2 linked regions of the Rhinolophus ferrumequinum genome follow. The protein of the gene in region 2 interacts with the protein of the main gene of each other region in a biochemical or structural test. Links are inferred from orthologs where the notes say so. Each region holds a gene or a part of one and is shown on either strand. Other genes may lie near its edges.

Region 1 (11,256 bases), on a different chromosome or scaffold from region 2:
AATCTTTTTCCTAGTCTTAAAAAGTCCCATGCTTTCTAGCCTATTGCAAAGTATGAAGCCTCTATATATCTTACGAGTATAACTCTCAAGTTCTATCCTTGGCAATATTAATTTCTAATTTCTATTCCTGGCCATATCCATTCATCTCCATCCCTCTATACTCTACCGAAAAGATTCCATCAACTCTCTAAATCTGAACTATGTAGATTATTTATACATAAACTGATGTTTCAGGCTTTATTCAAATATTCTAATTACTTATTAGGTGTATCGATCTGGATGGTTACCATCTCCAAAGCTAAAACAATCTCCCCCAGCTATTCTTCCATAACTCTATTCACTCATGTTCAAAATGTCAAGGTTACTTTTGACCTTTCCCTCCCACTCGATTTGATTAACTCATTCTTTATAACATTATTTGCATCCATGCTTTCCTTTCTGTCCCTACAGACACCATGCTAATTCAGAATCTTTATACAGAACTAGACTATCATAATATTTCACAACTATTCCTCCGGACTCTGGTCTACTGCCACTAAACCGAATCACCACATTACTATTTCTAACAATTTTGATCATGGTCCTTGACTAAGATCAAGTCCAAACTCTTTAACCTTCTATAATTTAACTTTACATTTTTTAGCCTTACCTCCTTTCACCCTTCATATAAATTCCTGGTTTAGCCAATCTGGTCTATTTAACAGCTAACAAACATATCTTATGCATTTCCATGCCATTTCTTCCATCTGGAAGACAATGTGCTCCTAACTTTTTAAGGTTCATACTAAACTTTACTTCTTCCCACTGCCCCAACTAGATAGAAGAACTCTCAAAGAATGTTGGAGCTGAAGGAAGATCATTTACTCCACCTGCAAAATGTCGTTTAAAGAATCATCTCTTCCATCTAGAAAATTAAAATGGTTGGGGAAACTGAAGCCAAAGGACAATAAAAATACTTTTCTTTCTGAACACTCGTTCTTTTTAACGTATTTTCCTTGATTGTTTCCTATATACCAGGAACTATTCTAGTCACATGGGATTAGAGTTTAATGAGAAAGACGAACCGCATGTAAATTATCACACAAATAATAAGGCTTTCACGAGTGCTATCTGAAGAGGGAAGCGGGGTGTCACTTAAGTCTGAAGTACAGGTGGCTGAGAAAAGGGGTGTGGCGGGAAGTTAATTAGTGTGGGAAGCTGGGGAGGAGCTAATTCAGTTGGGGAGGAGGCTCCTCGGAGCAGTAAGCCTTTCAAGCAAGGGCAAAAGAGTGAGTAGGAATTAACTCTAAAGAAGGGTAGATGATTTCCACCGGTAGAAGGGAAGCTCAGAGAGAGGCACTTTCAAGAGACTGAGAGATTTGGGTGCTGGAATCTAAGACATTGAAGAGGATTGCAAGAGGTGAGGTTACCAAGGCAGGGAGGTTGGACAAGAGCACCTTCTCCTGGGAAGGTCAAGTTGAAGATTGCTGGGCTTTTATCCTGAGAACTACAGAACTTGACTAGCACATTGCAAGGTACTTCAAGTCAGAACCATGGCTTGCCCTGAGAGGAATGAGAGAAGAGATTATGAAATCAGGAAGAATACTAGTTTTATTTCACTTGAAACATTTTCTGTATCCCTATTACTCTTACCTGTGTGATATTGTTCAAAGTCCAGTTAAAAAAATTGAGCATATGAATTTATAAATACAGTCATTTTCAGTTACAACTTACAACCATCTTCCTGCCCACATAGCTTTGACAAGAGGTTGTGTATGTCTGTGTACCTGTAAATACTTAAGGGAGTATGGGCCTGTTTTATATTTTTTAAAAGCAAAACATTCTATACAATAACAATCCAATGAAAAGCTCCGTTTCACTGTTTGGCCATACATTAGTGCTAGACTTGAAGTTAAATATTCATTTTCCTGCCCTTTCCCATAAGATCCTTATTAAGGGAAAATACTTTAAGAACACCAACAAAATTTTTCCAATGATTGTTTTAATCCTAATTGCTATTTAATCTCATCTTGTCTACACTAGATAATGAATTTCAAAATGCAATCACAAATTTATTTCCTCTAATATTACATTTATATTAAGAATCATTTTAAAGAGGGTAGGGTAACAAAGTTATTATTAATAAAACAACAGCTGGAATTTTGGAGCAATTTCTTTGTTCAAGGTATTATGTCGGGCACCTTAGAATACATGATCTCACTTAATCCTAAAAAAGACTCTAAGAGGTGCATGTTATACTCTATTTCACAGATAAGGAAACTGAGGCTTAAAGACACAAGCATTTCCTCAAAATATATACACTTTAGACATCTGCTGTCCAATATGGTGGCCTGCAGCCACATGTGGCTACTGAGCACTTAAAATATGGCTAGTCTGAATTGGGATGTGCTGTAACTGTAAATTACACACCAGATTTTGAAAATTTAGTATGAAAAAGTAAAATACGTCAATAATTTTTAAATGTTGATTATATATTTTTAGATACAGTAGGTTTAAATAAAAGGCATTATTAAATGAAGCTGGAGAAGTAAAAGCTACCAGATTCACAGATCTTAGAAAAGCTACAGAGGCCATGAAAATACCCACTTTATTCTAGTTTGAAACTTAATGGAAAAAATAATATACAAAATTTTAGTTTAGCTATTACAGTGCATATTCAATGAGTTAAGGAGGAGCCATGGGGAAAGGACCTCCCTTGGATCTCGTATGTTCATTAAAAATCCACTTCAGGTAATGCGTTTTTGAGTACCCCCTGAGTACACGTGACTTGGTCCTTGTTCTTAATGAGTAGTCTCAAACCTACATGTAACATGATTGTGTCTAAAATACACTTACAACTATATTTCTGTAAATGTCTTCCAATTTAGGGCCATAGGTAGGATTATGTTGGAGAAAGAAAATGACACTAATCAAAATTATTAGCAATTATTAACTAATTATAAGAACCAGACAAAACTGTAATGTGTAATTAAATAGTCATTAGAAAAATTTGCTAAAACTTTGATGTAAGATAATATGTTACACTTGTAACGCTTGAAATATGGAAAAATACTCAACATAAGAGAAAACAAACATTTTTAAGCCATTTAAGCTACCAGCCATATTTCCAAAACGTATACTTTAGAAGAGAGTTTATATTAGAAAAGAGCTTATCATGCATTAACTTTACATCTGATAATATACTTAAGTTATAGCTTTGAAGAAACTTGTTTTGTTTGCAAGAATGCCTATTTTTTCTTTCCAAAGAAAAAGTTAAACCGCATTCTTTAATGTGAATGGCATATTTGTACCCCTATATGCTAATATTCTCTCAGCCCCACTAAGTTGTTATGATGTCTTCAAATAATTCGATAATCTGTCTTTAAAGTTTCATCTTAATTGCAGAGTTCATTTTTCTAAAACGCCTTGGCACCATTCAATCTTTCATGAGATGAGAAAAGTCTCTTTCCTCTCGATTTGACATTTTTACAGTAGGTACATGTGTGAGCGATTTTTGCTGTCAAATATTGTAAAGACAAATTTCTGTTGTTGTTGTTGAGTCTGAAAATGTCTCCACTATACAGGCACAGCCACCCTCTCCCTAACCCAAGCCTACCCACTCCTCACCCTGCCTCCAAGTTTTAAACTTTGTTTCCTTCGAGGCTCTGCCACAAGCGCTACTAATAATATCCAAGAGACAAAAGCGCTGTGCTGTGGTCCACGGGATGCCAAATTTGAGTTGTGACACAAAGCACTAAAATTTGAGATTCAAGATGATGATGATGGTGATGCTGGCAAAAAGAAAAATTATTATAAAGCATAAGACCCCAAAGCCAAGTCCCTAGATAGCTCCCCCTGTCCACGGCCACCCCAGAGCACGGGGAGGGAGATCTGGCCCCGGGACGGTGGCTGCCGGCTAAACCGCGAACCCCGCTGCCCGCGCCCCCGGCCCTCTCACCGCTTCACTCGGATGATCTGGTCCCGCATGGGCTTGATGTCCTGGAAGCTCTGCTGGTTGACGAGGCTGTAGACGAGGATGAAGCCCTGGCCGTTCTTGATGTACAGGTCCCGCATGGACGCGAACTGCTCGGTACCCGCAGTGTCCAGGATCTCCAGCACCGACGGCGACGAGTCCACCTCGATTTCCTTGCGGTAGAAGTCCTCGATGGTGGGGTCGTATTTCTCGATGAAGGTGCCGGTCACGAACTGCACGGTCAGGGCGGATTTGCCGACCCCGCCCGAGCCCAGCACCACCACTTTGTACTCGCGCATCGTCCCTCCGCGGCCGCCGCCGCCACCGCCGCCCGCGACATAGACCTACGCCCGCCGCGCAGAGCTCTCGGACCCTGCCCCGGCGGCCGGCACCGCTGCCTTCCGCGGCCGCCCCCACCTCACAGCCGTCGCGGCCCCCCGGGCGCCGGCGGAGGGAGCAGCGGCCCAAGACATGGACCGATCCCGGCGGCAATGCGGCCCCGCGGGTGCCGGCAGGAACTAAGGACGAGCAGCGAATGGAAGCCGCCGGAGCCGCCCGAGCCGCCCGAGCCGCGGGCCCGCAGTGCTGCCCGCCAGCCCCGCCCCTCACGCCTCCACGCCCAGCTTCCCTCCTGCGGCCGCCGCCGCCGCCGCTTTCTCCGGCGCCGTAGCGCGCACCCCAGCCGGCGTTTGAGCCGCAGCGCTGTCGGGGGCGGGGCCCGGCGACCCGGGGCGGGGCCCCGGGGCGCAGCCCCGCCCCTGTTCCCCAGTCGCCTAGGCGACCAGTCTCGCGCGCTCCCGGGAGGCTCTGCGCAGCGCGGAAGCCTCTGCCCCGGCTTGGATAAACAACCACCTTGGCCACCCAACGCCACCCCACCCCGCACTCTCCGTCGAACCCCAGTCACTGCATCTGAGCATGCGCAGTTTTTCCGCCTGAGACGGGAACCGCATCAACCTGAGAATCCCACGCTCAGAATTTGGCAGAGACAAGATGTTAAAAGGAGCAGAACGATCTGCAGCAATCTCTGGAGTGAGGAGTCAGAAAAAGAGACGGCCAAGGTCCAAGAAGAGGCCTTGACATGAGGGTCTTGCCCGACACCACCCAGGCTGTCAACATTCCTGAGAGCTTTGGTTTTATCTTGTATACACAGAACGAGAAGCTTTGCTTAAGGGTCCGAGCATAAACACAACCAAATGAAGCTTAGTTTTCAGTATCAGGACACTGAGTGAGAGGTGACAGGCCTCTGCAGCCCACTGCTCGAGGCGGTGAAGGCCAGAGACTGTGGAAGCCGGACCCAACCCGGTGACGTCGCCAGGAGTCCCGCCCACCTTCCCTCCACCCCCGCCCGTCTTTAGTGCCAGACTGTAGTGGAGCTCTTCCCACGCCCTGTCTGCTATGGGTACTTGGAAAACCGGGAGCGCGGAGTCCCGAACCGCAGCAGAGGGCCGGGGGAGAGGTCATAGCAACAGCCCGCTGGGGGACCTAGTAGGGAGCTGGGATTCATTCCAGCCAACCAGACCATGTCTCTGGACCCGATGGTACCATTCTCGACCAAAGAGAGCCCCTTCATAACCACGTGACACCCATCCACCAGCCAATGGGGAAAAACTCTAGTCGCAGGATAAGCCAACACACCTCCCACTGCCTGGGCCAGCTGGGCGTTTGCTCCTGCGCACACTCTGCCAACCAATCGTAGGTGAGCTGAAGAATGACGAAGGCTTGAACTGAGCCAACCAGAATTCGCGATGTCCTTGCCACCAAGGGCAGGTAGTATGGAAGCAGGAGCCGAGCTGGTGGGGTTTGGGAGGGGTCAGAGATTGAGGGGCCGGTCGCTGAGCCTTATTCAGGCAAGGGAACAAGATGTGTTTCAGACAAAAGTGATGAATTCCGGTTTTAACTTTTGTCCCCGTGGCATTCTGCCTAGATGATGGGCATACAAATAGTGCTGAGGGATACATGGGATGAATCGAGAAAACAGAGACTTTTGTCTTTAGGTGAGACATTTCCCGGTTCCTAAATACTGCAGCAGTTGCACGGGTCCTCCGTGCGTGCCTCTTTAAACATTTTTAACAGCTGAGTTTTAAAACTTTATCGTTCTGTTAACTCTTTAGCATTATCTTAGTTACACAGTCTCTCCCACCCATAACGTCAAATTTAGGAGGGGTTATATCCCCAAACGTTTCTGGATATTTTGTAATAACTGGTTATTGGATTTATGTTCCTTAAACTATGTCGTTCTTGAACTATTCTACATCCATTCATTACCATCTCACATTTCTTGGGAATAATAAATTTCTGTAGTTCTAATGTTTGATGATGGCATACCTCTTTACCCTTTCTCTGCTCCAGAAGATCATCATGTAGAGAGGATTTTGGTCTGAGATCCTTGAAAAACCAGGTGTTCTTTTACCATCTTTTCTGTCAATTATCAGACTACTACAAAGACGTACTCAGATTTAGCAGTGTCCTACAGCTTTGTTGCTCCATTATGTTAGAACGGATTACTTACATTTTCATTACCTTGCTATAGTATAACACATACCAAGTTTGTTTTTAAACAATGGAGGGCAAGTGTCCTGTCAAAATATGCAGTAAAATATTATTCAATCATTATTTCTTGGTTACATATCATCAAAAAAGGAGAGGTATCTAAGCTACCAGAATTAGCAGTGAAGGCAATTTGCAAAAGAACTAACAATCAGAGGAATGTTTTAAGACAATTGAAACCAAAGAGGATCTGATATCTCATTCTAAACTAGTAATGTAAATAAATGAATTAAAATGAAGAGAACTCACATAGATATGATAAGTGAAATATCGATAAGTGAAACTTCATATCTGAGCTTTTTTGGCAGGGATGTTTCAAGAGAATGTTGTAGATGAACAGAGTGTTCACCTAGCTTTTTAGAAGCCTCACATTTTGTATAAAACTTGTACCCTTATTTGTGGTTACTTTCTCTTAGTAACAGCTACGCTTCTTTCAGAGGAAAGACAGACTGTCTCTTTTAAGATCCAAATTGTGTGTTGTGGTGGTAAGAACTTCCTAGCTTGTTGGGGGGATCAGTAGAGCCAAGAAGCATCAGACTTTCTCTTTGTATAGACCATTACCACCTGTGTAGTACCTTGCATTAAGTGGAGCTGAAAAATCATACACTTTGCAGGGAATAAAGGTCCATTGAATTTTTTTTTAAAATAGAACTTTGCACTGGGATTGTGGGTCCAGAATGTAACCTCAAGCAACTGTTTTCATTTTGTAAGACTCTAGAAGTTGAGAAGCTCTGGATGGAGTGTATTTGATAGAAGTTATCGCGCGCGCGCGCGCGCACACACACACACACACACACACACACAATAGTGATTTGGCTCCCTGGTCACTCTACTTAGCAAATAGAGAATGAGAGGGCTTTTTGGCATTTCTGAGGCTATTTTCCTAGATCTTTCATCAATGCTGACTTTCTTGGTGAGAACTGTAGAGACTAGGTCTTGGGGTAATTACACCTCATTTATATGTCTCTTATTGACAGGCCTCGATTTTCATTCTCAATGCTGCCATAAAAGAAGATTTTTAATCATGAAGAGGGAAAAGAAACATGCGTAGGAGCATATTTCTCACATGTTGTGGATGGTGGTACTTGATTTGAGGCTGTATGTGAAATGCTGTTTGAAGGATTAGCTGCTGTAAGAAAGGATATCAGGATGTGTAGAGAATTTTGAAGATTTGGGTGGAAGCTGGGTCTCCTGATCTCTTACTCATTCCCAGCATGAACTATCTATTCTGACAGTGATTTTAGGGATAAAAAACTATGTCTCCATTCGTTTGTTTATGAGAAAGACAAAATAAAAATGAGATAAAGTGAAATAGAATTTTTCCTAAGAGCTGTAAATCTGTATGATAGTGAAAACTTGGCCCTGTACACTGACACTTCAGGGTCTCTTTAGCTTCAGAAGTGCATTGCTGGGAGATAAAAAAGAAAGAAAGAAAAACTTGATTTCTCTTCTCCCCAGTGAATCTGAGAGTTATCTCACTTATGCCCAGATACCCTCAACTGTCACACTTGTGTTACCATGGAAACCCAGCTCCTTTCTTTGCTTCTGTGAAAGATGTTGGTAAAGGTGGAATGAAATATACCATGTTCTGGGATGTTCTGATGACAGCAAGAAGCAAGTATGCAAAGAATTTAATATAAACAAATTAGTAAAGGATGTTTGTAATATGACCAGTGATGCTTGGCTATAAGATTGTGATTCCTATTGCTTCCTATTAAAGCCTATATATCTCTGATTAACTGTAAAGAGGAAGGACAATCAAGTACATTTAGCACCTATGAAATGATGTTGGCAATTATAAAGAGAGCAGGAGACATTTTCTTGGCCTCTGAGGTTCCTAATACAGTCCAGAAACCCAAGTATACATGAAGAGTGGAAAGCAAGGGCCAAAATAAATGTGCTTCCATTTTGAAAATATGATACATCCCAGCACTTTTGCAAAGAAAAAGAATTAGAAAACAGAAATTAAGTGAGTATGTAAACAAGTGAATGAAAGAACCCTTTAGCTGAGAAATGTTTCAGTGGGCGATTTTAAGCAGAAAAAAATTTCTGAAGGAAAAGGTTTAATGATTAAAATATTAAGAGAGAAAAGGCCAGGAGACTCTTACGGACTCAAAGGTTCTGAGGAAACTGGAGCTTTAGTGTGGTTCATTTAACATAGCAGAAGAGCAGACACAATGTTGCTTGCATATCCAGCAATTTAATTTCCCTTTCTTTTTGCCAAAAAAGAAAAAAAAGAAAACTCTGATGAATCAAGATAGATCGTTAATGGCAGTGCTTCACCTCTGTCCATGGTTAGTCCAAAAGTAGGTATATGACTCAATTCTTGCCATTGGAAGGGGAAGAAGGCAGCTGGGGATCGGGGATTTCTGGGATTCTGACAAGAGTGAGTAGCTGTCTCCGTTTTTTGACGTTACCTGCCTTGCTTTCTGCTTTGTACTTTGAAATAATGAGAATGTGGCTACCATCTTTGGGCTGTAAAGCCTTATGGCTGAGGTTGAAAACAAACAAGCTTTGGATGGTTAAGGAGAAGGATGGGAAGCACCTAGATCTTGGCTGACAATATTGAACTGTCAAATCAATACTAGAAATGCCCACCTTTGGACTATGGCTAAGTAAATAGCTAGTGTCTTTTGATTTAAGCCCATTAGTTTAAGTCCATTAGGTTTTTTTGCATTTTGCAGTTAGACACCTCCCACTGTTACAAAAAGTGTGAGAGATTTAAGACAAAATGGTGTTTAAAAAATCAGCAAGCATTTGTGAGCGCTTTCATTCTACTAATATCCTGAGTGGTATTTCAAAGACATAATATTTATTGAACACTTACTATGTATGTTATTGTAGGCTCTGAGGATACAACAAAATAGGGCTTGCCAAAAGTGCTTGCATTCTAACAGGAGATATAGATAATATAAATATAAGAGGCAGACATTAGGCAATTGATTACACATTTATATTATGTAATAACAGGTATAATTACTGCTAATAAGGAAAAATCAGAGCTTACAAGGGTGTATGATAAAAATATAAATAAAATATTACAAAATATATAACTAAATAACAATAAAATTACAAAAACTTACCAAGTACGTTATAATATCATGTATAGTTTATACATGAATTCCTAGAGGTCAAGAGATACAGGGAGTAAATGGGAGTGGCTTTAGTGAAGGAAAACTGTCTGAAGGAAATTAATGTGAAGCCATGTTTTGAAAGAAGTGGCCAAAGAATAGACTTAATGGGGCAGATGGGAGCACTCCAGATATAAAGAACCAAATGAGCAAAGGAAGAAGGTAGGAATGAAGTAAGAGTGAAATAAGGGAAATGCAAAATCACTTCATTCTTTAATTCCTTGTAGCAATGACATTCTATGGAAAAAAGAACAATGAGGGAAATAATCAGAAACTGAAAGTCTCAAAGAAAGATTATAAAAGGTATAACAATCTTGGGAAAATAATAGAGAAGAAAAAGTAGAGTTCAAGGGTACATTTGAAATTAAGGCATTATTCAAAATAATGAATAATTTGTAATCTGGGCATCATGTGAGAATTGTCATAGAATTAATTACGGGCTTGAGGACCTCAAGAAGGAGGGATTCAAACTTTCATAAACAGAAGTTGGAAGAAAAATGAAGAGAAGCAAAAAAGGAGACAGGCAGGAACAAATTTTTTGCTTATGGTTGCTATTTTTGACATATGTTATGTAAGAATGAATAGAATTTGATTGAAAAGAAAAATTTCAATAGACCAGTAATATGTAAAGGTAATCTTTTTGGTAAATATGTAATTTAAAATGTTTTCCCTAGAATACCTTTTTAAACCTTGCCATAGAAAAATATTTTCAGTAAAAAAGCTATAAGGAATAATAAGTTACAGATTAGTGACACATTTTGGAAATAAAACAGATGTGCCAAATATAATAGTATAGCAATGATAATAAATACTTGTAATAAAAATCAGAAATTTGTCAGACATTTTGTGGTTTCTGGCCAAATGTGGTTGTAGTAGTTTTTCTAATGCTATTTTCTGTACAAATATAAGAATAGTTTTGAAAAATTAAGCTACAGTAGGCATATAAACATATCTTGATATTATGAATAATAATGCAAGTAATATTTACAGTGCTTTACCCTTCCCAAAGCCCTTTTCCACATAGCCAAGAAGCTTTTTGTTTTTTAATAAAATTTTGAAAAATATTTGGGAGCAACTATATAAATATGTGATATGAAGATGCTGATATAGCATTATTACTGCTCCTTCCTCCAAGATCACTGAAATATTATAGAGGGTGAAATACCCTCAAGTGAAGAAAACTATGAGAAAACCTTAGTAGTGAGGGTTTGTTTGTTTGCTTGTTTTGAATTGTTTAATAAAGGAACAGGGAGAATAGGGTAGTGGTGGTTTAGGCCTCAGGCAATAAGCAGCCAGTCATGCTGTGGGGGAATAAAATAGGAAAAGAACTCTTGAAAATCTGCTTGTGCTTCTCACTCTCCATTGCCTTGGGGAAATCAATGCCGGCCCCCACACGTGTGGTGACTCTGAGCTCTGCTCCACGTGGACTCGAGGAAAACCAGCCCTGTGCTTGTCGGGAGCCAAGAAACTCCTTAGGACCTGAGCATCTTAAGGCCGTTGCACATCCATGCCTTCTGCTCTGACTTCCCTGAGCTGGTGAATTACAACCTAAAGCTTGGTCCTCCTCAGGTTCTCTCTGGGGAAGTAGAAGTAAATTCTTAATCTTTAAGGAGTGATTGGCTGTAA
Region 2 (10,881 bases):
GCTGGGGACTTGAGGTCAGCCCTAGAATGACCTGGTCCCCAGCCACACCACAGCCCACAGAGGCGGCCTTGGTAAGGGACCACACATAGTGTCTGGTTTCTAGGGCAACCAGGAAGCTCAGGGACCCCAGAAACTGGAGTTTGGGAACTACTGAGCCCCCAGAGAGGCTGACCCATCTCCCTAAGAGCTCTCTCTGCCAGTGTGAACCCAGGTAGTGAAATGTGCCGCAGGTGGGGAGGGGAGACCCGACCTCGAGGCTGGCCCTGCCCACCACCCAACCTCCTGTCCATCCAGGACCGGCTCCTGACCGCCAGGCCGGCGGACCACCAAGGGCCAGGCCTGCGAGGGAGTGTGGCTGCTGAGAGCTGAGGAGGAGGACGGCCTGGTCCCTGGGGGGGTGCAGGGTGGGGCCAGCTGAAGGTCCAGCCCCAAGAGCAACACCACAGACCACAGTGTCCAGCACGTGTGGGCACTTCCTGGATGCCAGGCCCTTGGCACACTCATCACAGTTAATCCTCCCAACATCTCACTTGATGGATGAGGAAAGAGCCGGGTGGGGATCTCGCCCAGGTCGAGCCAGGAAGTGGCAGCTGGGGCAGGGACTAGAACCCTGGCCTGTGACTCTCATGACCTATGGAGACACTCTGGGCCTCGCAGCACAGTGCCTGCCACGGTCACAGCCTCAGAACAGAGTCCAGCCCCTGGTCACACAGATGCAGGAAAGAGACCAGAGATGGGAAGGCCTTCTTCAGGTCGCACCGCCAGTCGGGGGTGGCAGGCCCAGCTCCCTTGTACCTGCACCGCTCTACTGAGAGGGGATGGCCAGGGCACCCATGGGCCCCGAGATCAGCTATAAGAACCAGACCTGGGAAGCGGCACGCTGACTGGGAGCCCAGGACACGGGCACTCCCCTGGCACCTTGTCAGAAAACACAATTGTGGCAGCCACCGCCTGTCCGGCTAACGCTGTGCAAGGCATTATAGGGACTGCTTCTCCGGCCACCTGTCTCACTCCGTCCTCACCAGAACCCTAAGTGGAGGAACTAGCATCAGGCCCATTTTACGGAAGAGGAAAACGAGGCTCAGGAAGCAGGGGCAGGTCTAGGATTGCAAGGGCCGAGCTGGCAGTCCAGCACAGCTGTCGGCACCCCAGAGCCCAAGCTCTGACCAGCATACTTGACTCTGCCCCTCGGTTCAAAAGAACAACATTACGCCTCTAGGCGAGACTACAGAGCAGGTTGTGTAAGCATCTGACACTTAACCGGGGAGGAGAGAAAAACAGCAAAGCAACACCACACCCAGTGCTCCCCAAACTCAGGCCCTCACGCTGGGTGCTCCCACCCAGCTCACCCTGCGGGCGACCTGGCAGCTATCTGCTCACTCCCCAGCCACGGGCCGGCCTTCTGCTCTGGGCTGCAGGTGTCAACTCCCAGAGCCTCAGAATCAGATTGGGGAGTCGCTTCACTGGAGCTGTGTGTCCAGGAACACGGTGTTTCCTGGCTGGCAAGGCCTTGGAGGCCTGAGCCTGGGACAGAGTAGCCACAGCATGGTGCCACGCCATGGGAGCCGTCTGGGCGGCCAGCCAGCAGCCCCTGGGAGCCAGACCTCAACGGCCTGGGTGCAGCCTCCTGAAACCGCCCCCAGTGGCTTGCTCAGAGGCGGCCGACACCAATCCCCCTCCCTCACCGGCACTGAAGGCAGGGCTTGGAAACACCTAACTTCCAGGTTGGAGATGGGACCCGCATCCTGCCCAAAGCAATCTCGCATCTCCCCGCCACCCACTCCTGCTCCAGCGCCTTCACTGAGCCTACAGGAAATAGACAGCGTGCTCAAGCGTCTGCCACTCAGTACCAGCCAGCTGGGTGCCCACCCCTTCTCCTGGGCCCCTGAGGAGCAAGACAGGAGGGGAGCCCGCGGCCCTCTCTCTCTCTCTCTCAATCTCTCTCTCTTTCTTTCTCAAATACACACACACACACACACACACACACACACACACACACACACACACACACACCCTTAGGCCATGCCTCTCAGTCCTCCAGGGTCAAAAGCCCTGGGGGTTAAACTGAAGACCTGCACATAGTAAGATCAAGAGACCAGACAACCGGGAAGGAGGCGGGAGGCTGGAGGGAGACTCCCCTGCGATTCTCCACCCAAAGAACAGAGAAGCCCTCCTCATTCCGATCCACCTCTTCGTTCAGGCCTTGCAGGCACACTGTCTGGGTCAGGATTCCACCTCTGCCACTTACCAGCTTAGTGAGGTGATACAATCTAATTAACTCTCGTGCCTCAGTTGCTTTATCTGTCAAATGGGCTATTGATAGTCCTGACCACAAAAGGACATAATGCATGCAAATTACTTAGAACAAGGCCTCCCACAAAGTGCTGGCTCATGTGAGCTATTATTGTAAACCGCTGGGGTCCAGCTGTGGACTTGCTTCTTCCTGGAAGCTCTCCCCAGTGTCCTCTAGCCCAAGGCACTTTGTCTTCCTCTGGTCTATAAGCATCCCAACCCCTCACTTGACCGGGGGCTTCTGGGCTGCCTGGGCCTGGTTCTGTGCCCCCCAGAGCTCCACAGTCCTCTGGTGAACCTAAAATTACCCCAATAGTGATCTTTCTCTGATTCCTGTGGGCTCTTGCACACAGCAGGCGCCTAACAGAGAACACAGCCCATGTTCAAATCCTCCCAATCCTGTGTCCTTGGCTGTGCATACATTTAGATCAGAGACTTCACTTCTCGGAGCTCCAGTCTCCTATAAAGGGGGTTGGCACCCACTCTGGAGGGTTGGTCAAAGCCAGTTGGAATGAGGTGGTGGTGTCCGCAAATTATTTGGTGGTGTCCAAAATTAGGTGCTACAGACTTGGGAACTGCCTGGTCAAGGCAGTGGCCAGTCTAGAGATGGGGGCATGGGCCAGGTGACCGCCAGAAAGCACAGAACTGCACAGGCCAAGCTGGGTTAGTGGTGGCTTGGCTTAGAATCAAGATGACAGGAGTGGATGCCCAGATGTGCAAGGACATCTGGCAGCCCAGAGAGGATTGGAAGGAAAATGGGGAACAGGGGAGAGAAGGCAGTAACTGCCTGGTGGTTTCCAGAGAGGACAGGGACCACAAGCAGAGCTGCTTCAGCTCTGGCACGCTACAGCGACCAGGAAATCAGCCCCAGGATTGAGGGTGGGGGGGGTGGGGGAGGTGTTGGCAGGAGGGACAGGGACTTCCCCGCCCCCCTGCCCTCCTCCCCCGGCCCATAGTAAATGGTCATTGTGTTTGATTTCCGGCACTGGCCTCCTCTTCTGCCAGGACCCTGATTTTCCTGCCCCAGCCAGAAGCTTCCCCTTTGATTTCTAAACAGTGGCCATGGCCTGGATCTAGTGCAGAGGCCGGGTGAGGGAGAGCAGCAGGAGGGTGCGGGGGGAGGGGAAGGAGAGAGAAGGCGACCCCTGGGCAAGGGTAGGGCTCTCCCTCAGGTCCCCAGGGATGGACAGATGGACAGAGAGGTGGGGGGGAGGGAGAGAAGTGAGCCAAACAGCTCACCCCACCCTGGCCAGGAACCTGCCCGGCCCCTGTGAGCGTGTAGGCCGGACCCTCCCAACACACAAAGCCCGACTGGCTGCCAGACATAATGAAAGTCAGATGAGTACTAGGCTGGTGTCAGGCCTCCCAGGGGTCTGCTCCAGCTGCCAATGAAAGCCAGAGCAGTGGGTGGATGAGGGTCCGGGAACACGCGGGGCTTGGCCACCCGCCCAGCTCAGGAGAAAAGGGTCTCCCAGTCCTGCAGTTCCCTCACCAAGAGCGCCCTCCAACCCCTTGCCTTGGCCCCACGCTGGGCAGGGAGACACACTTTATCCTTGGGCAAATATGCATCCAGGCCCTAGGGACATGCAGAGGCACAAAACCAGGCTGAAAATTGCTGGCAAGTACAACACATGGGGGCCTAAAGTGAAGGGCTGGGGGGGGACACCAAAGGGGCCCTAACCAGCACGGGGGCTCAGGAACTTCACTGTTAAGGCTCTGGCTCGGCCTTGACCTGCTGAGCCCCCAACCCGGGGCTGGCCTGTCCAGGCCCCATGCCCAGGCAGGGCAGGGTGACAGGGTCCATCCTGCATCTGCTACCTCTGAAGTCAGGTGCACAGTCAGGCAGGAGGAGGAAGGCACCACTCCCGGCCCCACCTGCCTGCCCCCATGACCCACTGGGCTTCACTGTGCAGAGCACACTAGAAAGAGTCCCAGCCCTCATCTAGTTACCCCCACCTCCATTAGTGACAGACACATCCCCCCTTCTCTGAATCCTCCCAAATCCTTACAAATTCATTTTCTAATCAAGCAGAAATGAGTCAGTCACCCCATCCAGACATGAGAGGGCCTTGTCCCAACCTTCCAGCCTGGACACCTGGCCCCACAGGTTGGAGGCCTGCTCCGCCTCCAACCCACCTCCTCTGAACAGCCCTGAACATCCAGTCCGAGTCTGACCCCAAAGTGGAGCCGTCTGGAAGGCCACTGTGGTCCCCAGCCCTCTGAGGATTCTAGGACTCTGCCACCCTACCAGTTCGCCACCTGATTGCGAAGCCTAACTGCCCGTGCAGGCTGGGACTGGCAATGGAGATGAAATATGGCCCAGCCCCTAATGTCGGGAAGTTCACAGCCCTAAACAGACAGTGACAGCCCGCGGAAACAGGTCTACCTGGGCTGCAGGGGCACGAGGCCAGCACACCTGGGATCGGTGAGGGTAGGCATTGGGACGGATAAATAGGGTCACAAAGACCCGGTTCTGGTCCCTACATTGTTGCACCCGCTGTGCCGGCGGCCCCCACGCCCACCTGCTGCCGTAAGGTTACAGCGAGGGGGATTTCTGCGGAAGGACCCTCCCCCCAAACGATCAGGACGCTGGGCCGCGGGGTCAGGCCGACCTGGCTCACTCACCTCCAGGCGGGGCAAGTCGGGGTCGAGCTGCGTGAAGCTGTGCAGCACCACCGGGCAGCTGGCGGGGCCGCCCACCTCCAGGCGCACGGCGTCCCACACGCTGCGGCTCCGCCGGGAGCCCGGAAACAGCGGCTCGGCGCCGCCCGCAGGCCCGGCCGCCTCGGCCCACATACGCTGCACCATGGACGGCTCGCAGCGGCGCCGGCGGCCGGCCGGGCCGCGGGACCCGAGGCGGCGCGGGCAGCAGAGGCCCGCGCGGCTCGGCGCTGCCTGCGCTCTGCGCCCGCCGCCCGGCCCCGCTGAGGTCAGGCCGGGGGCGGGGCCGGCGCCTCGGAGGCGGGGCCGGCGGCGTGAAGGGGTGGGGCCGGAGATGCCGGGGGCGTGTTGTGGGAGCGTGGGCGCCCCCGCGAGCCTGCTGGCTGTGTCCTATAGAGCGTGTGTGGTGTGTGTGGTGTGTGGTGTGTGGTGTGTGTGTGTGTGTGGGGGGGGGGGGGGGGACTATGGGTACCGCGGTTATGCACCTTGTGTGGGTGCGTGCGCTGGGGCAGCGTATGTGTTGTGTATGTGACTTGTGTACGTGTGGTCAGGTGGCCCTGGAGTCAGATCAACCTCCCACGAATTCCAGGTAAGCCCCTCCCTAGCACTGTGGCGTTGTACAAGTTGCTTAACCTCTCTGAGCCTCAGTTTCTTCATCCGAGAGGGCCACATTGGGTTACTGATGTGTAGCACTCGGCTGGTGCCTGTGCCTTGCTACACTCTCCTGAGTCCTGGAACAGTGACTTCGGTGCACGTGTGCATTTGGAAGGCCTGAGTGTTGGGGTGTGTGTGGTGTGGGGACGGGCCTTTGCCTGTACTATCTCCTTTCTGCCCTACAGCCAGGGAGGTGAGGGCAAAACCGAGACCAGTCATATAGGGGTTGGGGCCTATAGACATTCAAGAGTAAGGGATCAAGAAGGCAAATGCCAGCTGGAGCACCTGCCACTGTCCTGGTTGGGGGGACCGCTGGCTTGAGCACTCAAGGTCTCAGGGCACCGGTGAGGGTGCCAGTGAGGCTGCTGAGGGCTGGGGAGGAAGCGCTCACAGAGGCTGGTGATTACTGTCAGCAGCCCTAGCAATGCCACCGCCAGCCCCAGAACTGGTGCCATATCATTGGGCCTGTTCCCCACCTGTAAGATGAGAGGGCAGGACCACACTACACATTCCATAAACATATCTTACGGAACGGACCCACCATGTGCCAAACCTCCGATATCCAGGGACATGGAGCCCTGGCAAGCTCTGGCCCACGTGGGCAGCTGGAGGGCCCGGGGTAGGGGAGGGGGACCGGCGGGCGGTGGAAAACAATTTCTACCGTTTTCTTTTAAGGACATTAAAAATGCTTATGCCCTTTAACTTGAGAATCCCACTCTTAGGAATTCACCCTCAGGTGACAATCAGAGGTGTGGACATGGATTTCTATATGAGGATGTTTGTGGAAACCTCAATGACAACTGTTCCCAACCGAATCCACTCAAATGCCTTGTCCTGACAGGCCCCTCGGTGCCACTGCACACCTTGGACCAACCGTGATGCCGGAAGTGTTTCTGCTGTACTGCGACGTGAGACAGCAAGATGCAGAATACGCTTTCAGAACTAGACATTACACACGTGCGCATGACGGGGACCCACTCTGCAAAAGTCATCGTGGTTCTTTCTGGGTGCTGCCATACAGTGTTTTTCACTTCTCTGAATTTTCTATTATTTCAAAAATAGTTATAATCACACACATAAATGCTGGGGGTGGGGGTTGGTTGCTTTTTTAAAGTAAGATGGGTAGGTTGGGTTTGGGGATCCCTAGGAGGCCGTTTAAGGACCTTCTGTGACCTTCCCCCGGGGAGAGTAAGGTAGGTGAGGCACATTTAAAAGGACTCCCCAAAGATCAACCAAGGGGTGACCTGGACACAGGACACTGCCCTCTGGCTAAAAGCTTCTCCCAATCCTCCTGGGAGAATTTGCCAAGTAAATCCAGTACCTGCGGGTAGCTCACTTTATCTCTTTTCTGCCTTCTTTATCTCTTTCTCCCAGGGAGGGGCCTGGAAAGCAAGCTCAGGCCCATTTTACAGCCAGGAAAAGGGCCCCTGGAGGCCAAGCAAGTCGAGAGTGCACAGGGAGCACTCCCAACGTCACCACCTCTCTGGCCTTGAAGGTCCAGGGTACCAGGGTTGGGGGGCTCAGGTCAGCTGGAGAGTGAGCAGTGGGCAGTTCCACACCCCAACACAACCAGCGGGGCTGCCTCCCATCTGGAGGCCACCTGGAGGTCATGGAGGGCATGGCGGTGTCTCCTTTACTTAATCACTAACCTCAGGTTAATGCCTGTTTTTATAAAATCTCTCTCCCTGCTTTGTTCACTCTGGCTTTGGGGCTCCCCTCTGGGGTCCTGGTAAGCCTGCTCACTGCTTATCTGGGTTCACATGTGCACACACACACACACACACACACACACACACACACCCCTAGTTCCCAGGGTAGCAGTGTGGCATAGAGGACAGGTTCAGGCACTGAAAGGCCTGGGTTTGAAACCCAGCTCCACCCCTTTCTTACTGGGTGACCCCTATTCCCCCAGCAGGTCACCTCGCCTCCAAGGCACAGTATACACCTATGTAAAGGGGGCATAACTACAGAGACAGCACAGGTAAAGCACCTCACACAGATGCCCACCGCCCCCAGGCAGGCAGACTGCCCCACACTGTTAGTAACGGGGGCTGCGATTCACGGGGTGCCTTCTGCGTGCAAGGCCCTCCCAAGCCCTCACACACCTCCCCTCATCACCCCACCCCCCAAAGCTGTGGGGTAGATCCCTTACCAAGGGCAGGCAGGGCTAGTCCAAAAGAGAGGGGACCAGGACAGTGTGTGCCTGCCACCTGATGGAAGAACACAGAGCCACACATGCAGTGATTTTGCCCCAGACCAAACATGAATCCAACCAGGCCTCCACATTTGGGGGAATTACGGGGAACAGAGGAACACATCAATACACCATGAGGATATAGTCCACAAATTCCAGACCGTGGGACTCTCCAGGACAAACTGAAGAAACCCAGGGTCGTCAGGAGCAAAAAATAAAGCGGAAACTATAGATTAAAAGAGACATCAATCAAATACAACCTGTGGATTTTGTACTGTGATTTGAGCAGGGCAACTGTTAAAAAAAAAAACCTCAGGGAAAACTGGGATTATTTCAACCCTGCTGGATATTGGACAATACTTGACATCATTTTTGGGGTGCGATCATGGGGATTTAGGTTACTCTTAGAGTAACGTACTGGAATATTTATGGATGGAATGAAGGGATTTGTGTGAACATCGCCCGCTGAGCAGGAAGAGTAGGACACGGGGCAGTTAGAGAAGAAATAAGGTGGCCCCACAATGTGAACAGCAAGCTGGGCCAGGGCGGGGGGCTCCTGCCATTTTCTCCACTTGTGTGCCTCTTTGGAATTTTCCATAATAGAAGTTAAAAAAGAAAAAGGACACAGTTGGAGACTCACGCTCGGAAGCCTCTGAGGCTCCCAGCAGCCAAGGAGGGAGGGCAACAGCCTGTGAGCCCAGACCATGGCACTGACACCCGGCCCGCTTCACCGTTTCCCGTGTTCCTTGCCCCATGCGTGGGCGCTCACGGCATCCTTACAACCAAGGGGGCAGGGGGCTTCACTGTGGGGGCTGAGGCAGTGGGCAGCTGGGAAACCGAGTCACGCAGCTCAGATGGTGCTGGAGACAGCCCCAGTGACCTTGGGCGGGTCTGAAGATCAAGGCTGTGACAACGTTTGCCCTTGGAGGGTCTGCTGGGAGGAACAGAGGGCACAAAGCACCACAGGATGTGTGGGGTCATTATTAACTGGTGTCACTCCTTTCCTCCTCATCCTGCTCACAGTACACCCTGCCCCCAACTGTCCCAGGTTCCCAACGTTTCCCTGTGGAGTGCACCAGCCCTTCCTTGGGGAGTTACAAGAAGCCCCGAGAACACGGCGGTGCTGTAAAGACCCACCGGCCGTCGGGATACTCGTAACACAGGATGCTTAAACGACCGGCTGTGAACTGACATCCAGGGACGAGACCCAGGCCAAATCCAGCCCACACGTGTTTTGTTTGGCAAGCACAGTGTTTTTCAATTTTTGAGTCAACAGTAGAAGGTCAGGTGATTTCATATAAAATCCACATTTCTGGCTGCTCTTGTCACTTTGGACTACCTGGCCACACAAGGTCTGCATTCCCACGCGCAGCAGGAGGCTGGGCAGGAGCTGACTGGCAGCTGTCCCCTCCAGCCAGGGCCTGTCTGGGTCTGCCACAGTTCCCACTGGGCCTTCCACCACTTCCTGGCTTAGTGTGCTCAGGCCAAACCTCTGGGGCCCCTTTTCCTTCCCACTTTCATCCCACCAGGGGTCCCCCCGACACAAGACAGCCAGAGAGGTCTTGACCCTTCAAAGTCCTCCCTGTCACCCCCACCCCCTGCACTGTCCTCAGGCAGAAGAGCAAATGCGTGGTGAAGGCCCAGCTCACATCTCTGCCCAGCCGGGCTCACACTGACCTGTAGCGGCGCCCCCGGGCCTCCACCCACTGCCCCCTCTGCCTGGCCCATGCTTCCCACCTCCCACCCACCCCTTGGCCTGGTACATCACAGGTGAGTCCCAGGGAATGGGGTTTGGGCCCACGGTGCAGCTCTGGGGACGTCTACCAGGCACACAAGTGGCTCGGACAGAGAACTGGGCTCCGGGCAATGTCTGGGTGACCACAGGCCTTGGTCATCACCTCCCACCTGGGCTTGGCCAAAGCCCACGGAGGGAGCTGGCGGCCCAGTGAGGACCAGCAGCCAGATACCTAGACTCGGGTCAGGCCTTGGGGGAAACCTTTCACCTCTTTCTGAGCAGGTGAGGTCACCCCGTCTGTCTGCCTTTTGTCGTCTATATTTAGAAGCCCAGGGAGGACAGGCAGAGGGTGTGGCCTGGCCAGGCTCCGCGGTCATTTCCCCACACCAACGTCACCATTCCTGGCCTGCCTGAGTCCTGGGCAACCCTCTGTGGGCGGGTGCGCACACACCTTGGCAGGAGGTGACGCACCTGGGCCCAGTGTGGGAGCTCCTGGGACAGCAGGTGGACCTGGCTTAGCCCCACCTCCTCTGCTGCCGGGTTTCTGGGAACCGCCAGGGGCCTCCTCTTCCTCCAAGGAAGGAGAGGATCCCCACAGGCAGGACGCAGAGCCCAGAAGTGGTCAGGAGGCGGGAAACAAAGCCTCCAAACCTCTGGAGACCATCCTGGGTGGAGGGTGTGACATCGACATCACCCCAAGTCCCTGACCTCACTGGGCGTGACTGTCCCAGGACAACCAGAACAAGATACATCAACGCCCGGAGCCATGCAAACGGCCCAGAACTGGGACGCCATGAGCTCACTGGGGGGCCTGGTGTCCTCCCCGGAAAGAGGCGCTCACGGCCGCTGACTCTACCCTCAGATGTTGATGGAGACACTCTCGAAGCAAACACACAGTCCAGGGTCACTGTGATAAACACCGTCCATGGAGTGGGGACGGGCCGCTTTGACAACCGTCCCCCACTCCTCCAAGTGCTCAGTACCCCACATGCCAGCGGGCACTGAAACCTGACATTTCTGAAGGCCACCAATCCAACATGCGACAGCCCGAAGTGGAGGGCAGGAGAGGGGAGAGGAAGAGAAGCAGAAGGGGCACAAACAGATGGAAATGGAGACTGAGACTGCCACTGAGCCTGAAACACAGAGAATAACAGGCGCGGGGTGAAAAGGAAACAGTCAGAAATGGAGGCGGAGGGTCCCGTCCCTCACAGAGCCCACACGGGCGAGCACTGGCGCACATGGCTGAGGAAGGGACCCAAGGCAGGGCAGGTCCCGGGTCTCAGCCCCAAGCGGGGACCCTGAGCAGGAGGCAATGACATGGTGGAAGACACCATCCCCTGCCTGA

The links.
Region 1: the proteins of RALGDS (region 2) and RAP2A form a complex in vitro, tested with the Homo sapiens proteins (2 studies listed by BioGRID). The link is inferred for Rhinolophus ferrumequinum from reciprocal best matches to the Homo sapiens genes RALGDS and RAP2A.

Annotation. Positions count from the first base shown.
Region 1 is NC_046287.1:43,435,353-43,446,608, reverse strand, and holds the start of RAP2A (ras-related protein Rap-2a), read right to left. Parts: upstream 4,382-11,256; 5' UTR 4,252-4,381; coding exon 3,938-4,251; intron 1-3,937. UniProt on the Homo sapiens protein: Small GTP-binding protein which cycles between a GDP-bound inactive and a GTP-bound active form. In its active form interacts with and regulates several effectors including MAP4K4, MINK1 and TNIK.
Region 2 is NC_046295.1:80,655,534-80,666,414, forward strand, and holds the start of RALGDS (ral guanine nucleotide dissociation stimulator), read right to left. Parts: upstream 5,148-10,881; 5' UTR 5,101-5,147; coding exon 4,918-5,100; intron 1-4,917. UniProt on the Homo sapiens protein: Functions as a guanine nucleotide exchange factor (GEF) activating either RalA or RalB GTPases and plays an important role in intracellular transport. Interacts and acts as an effector molecule for R-Ras, H-Ras, K-Ras, and Rap.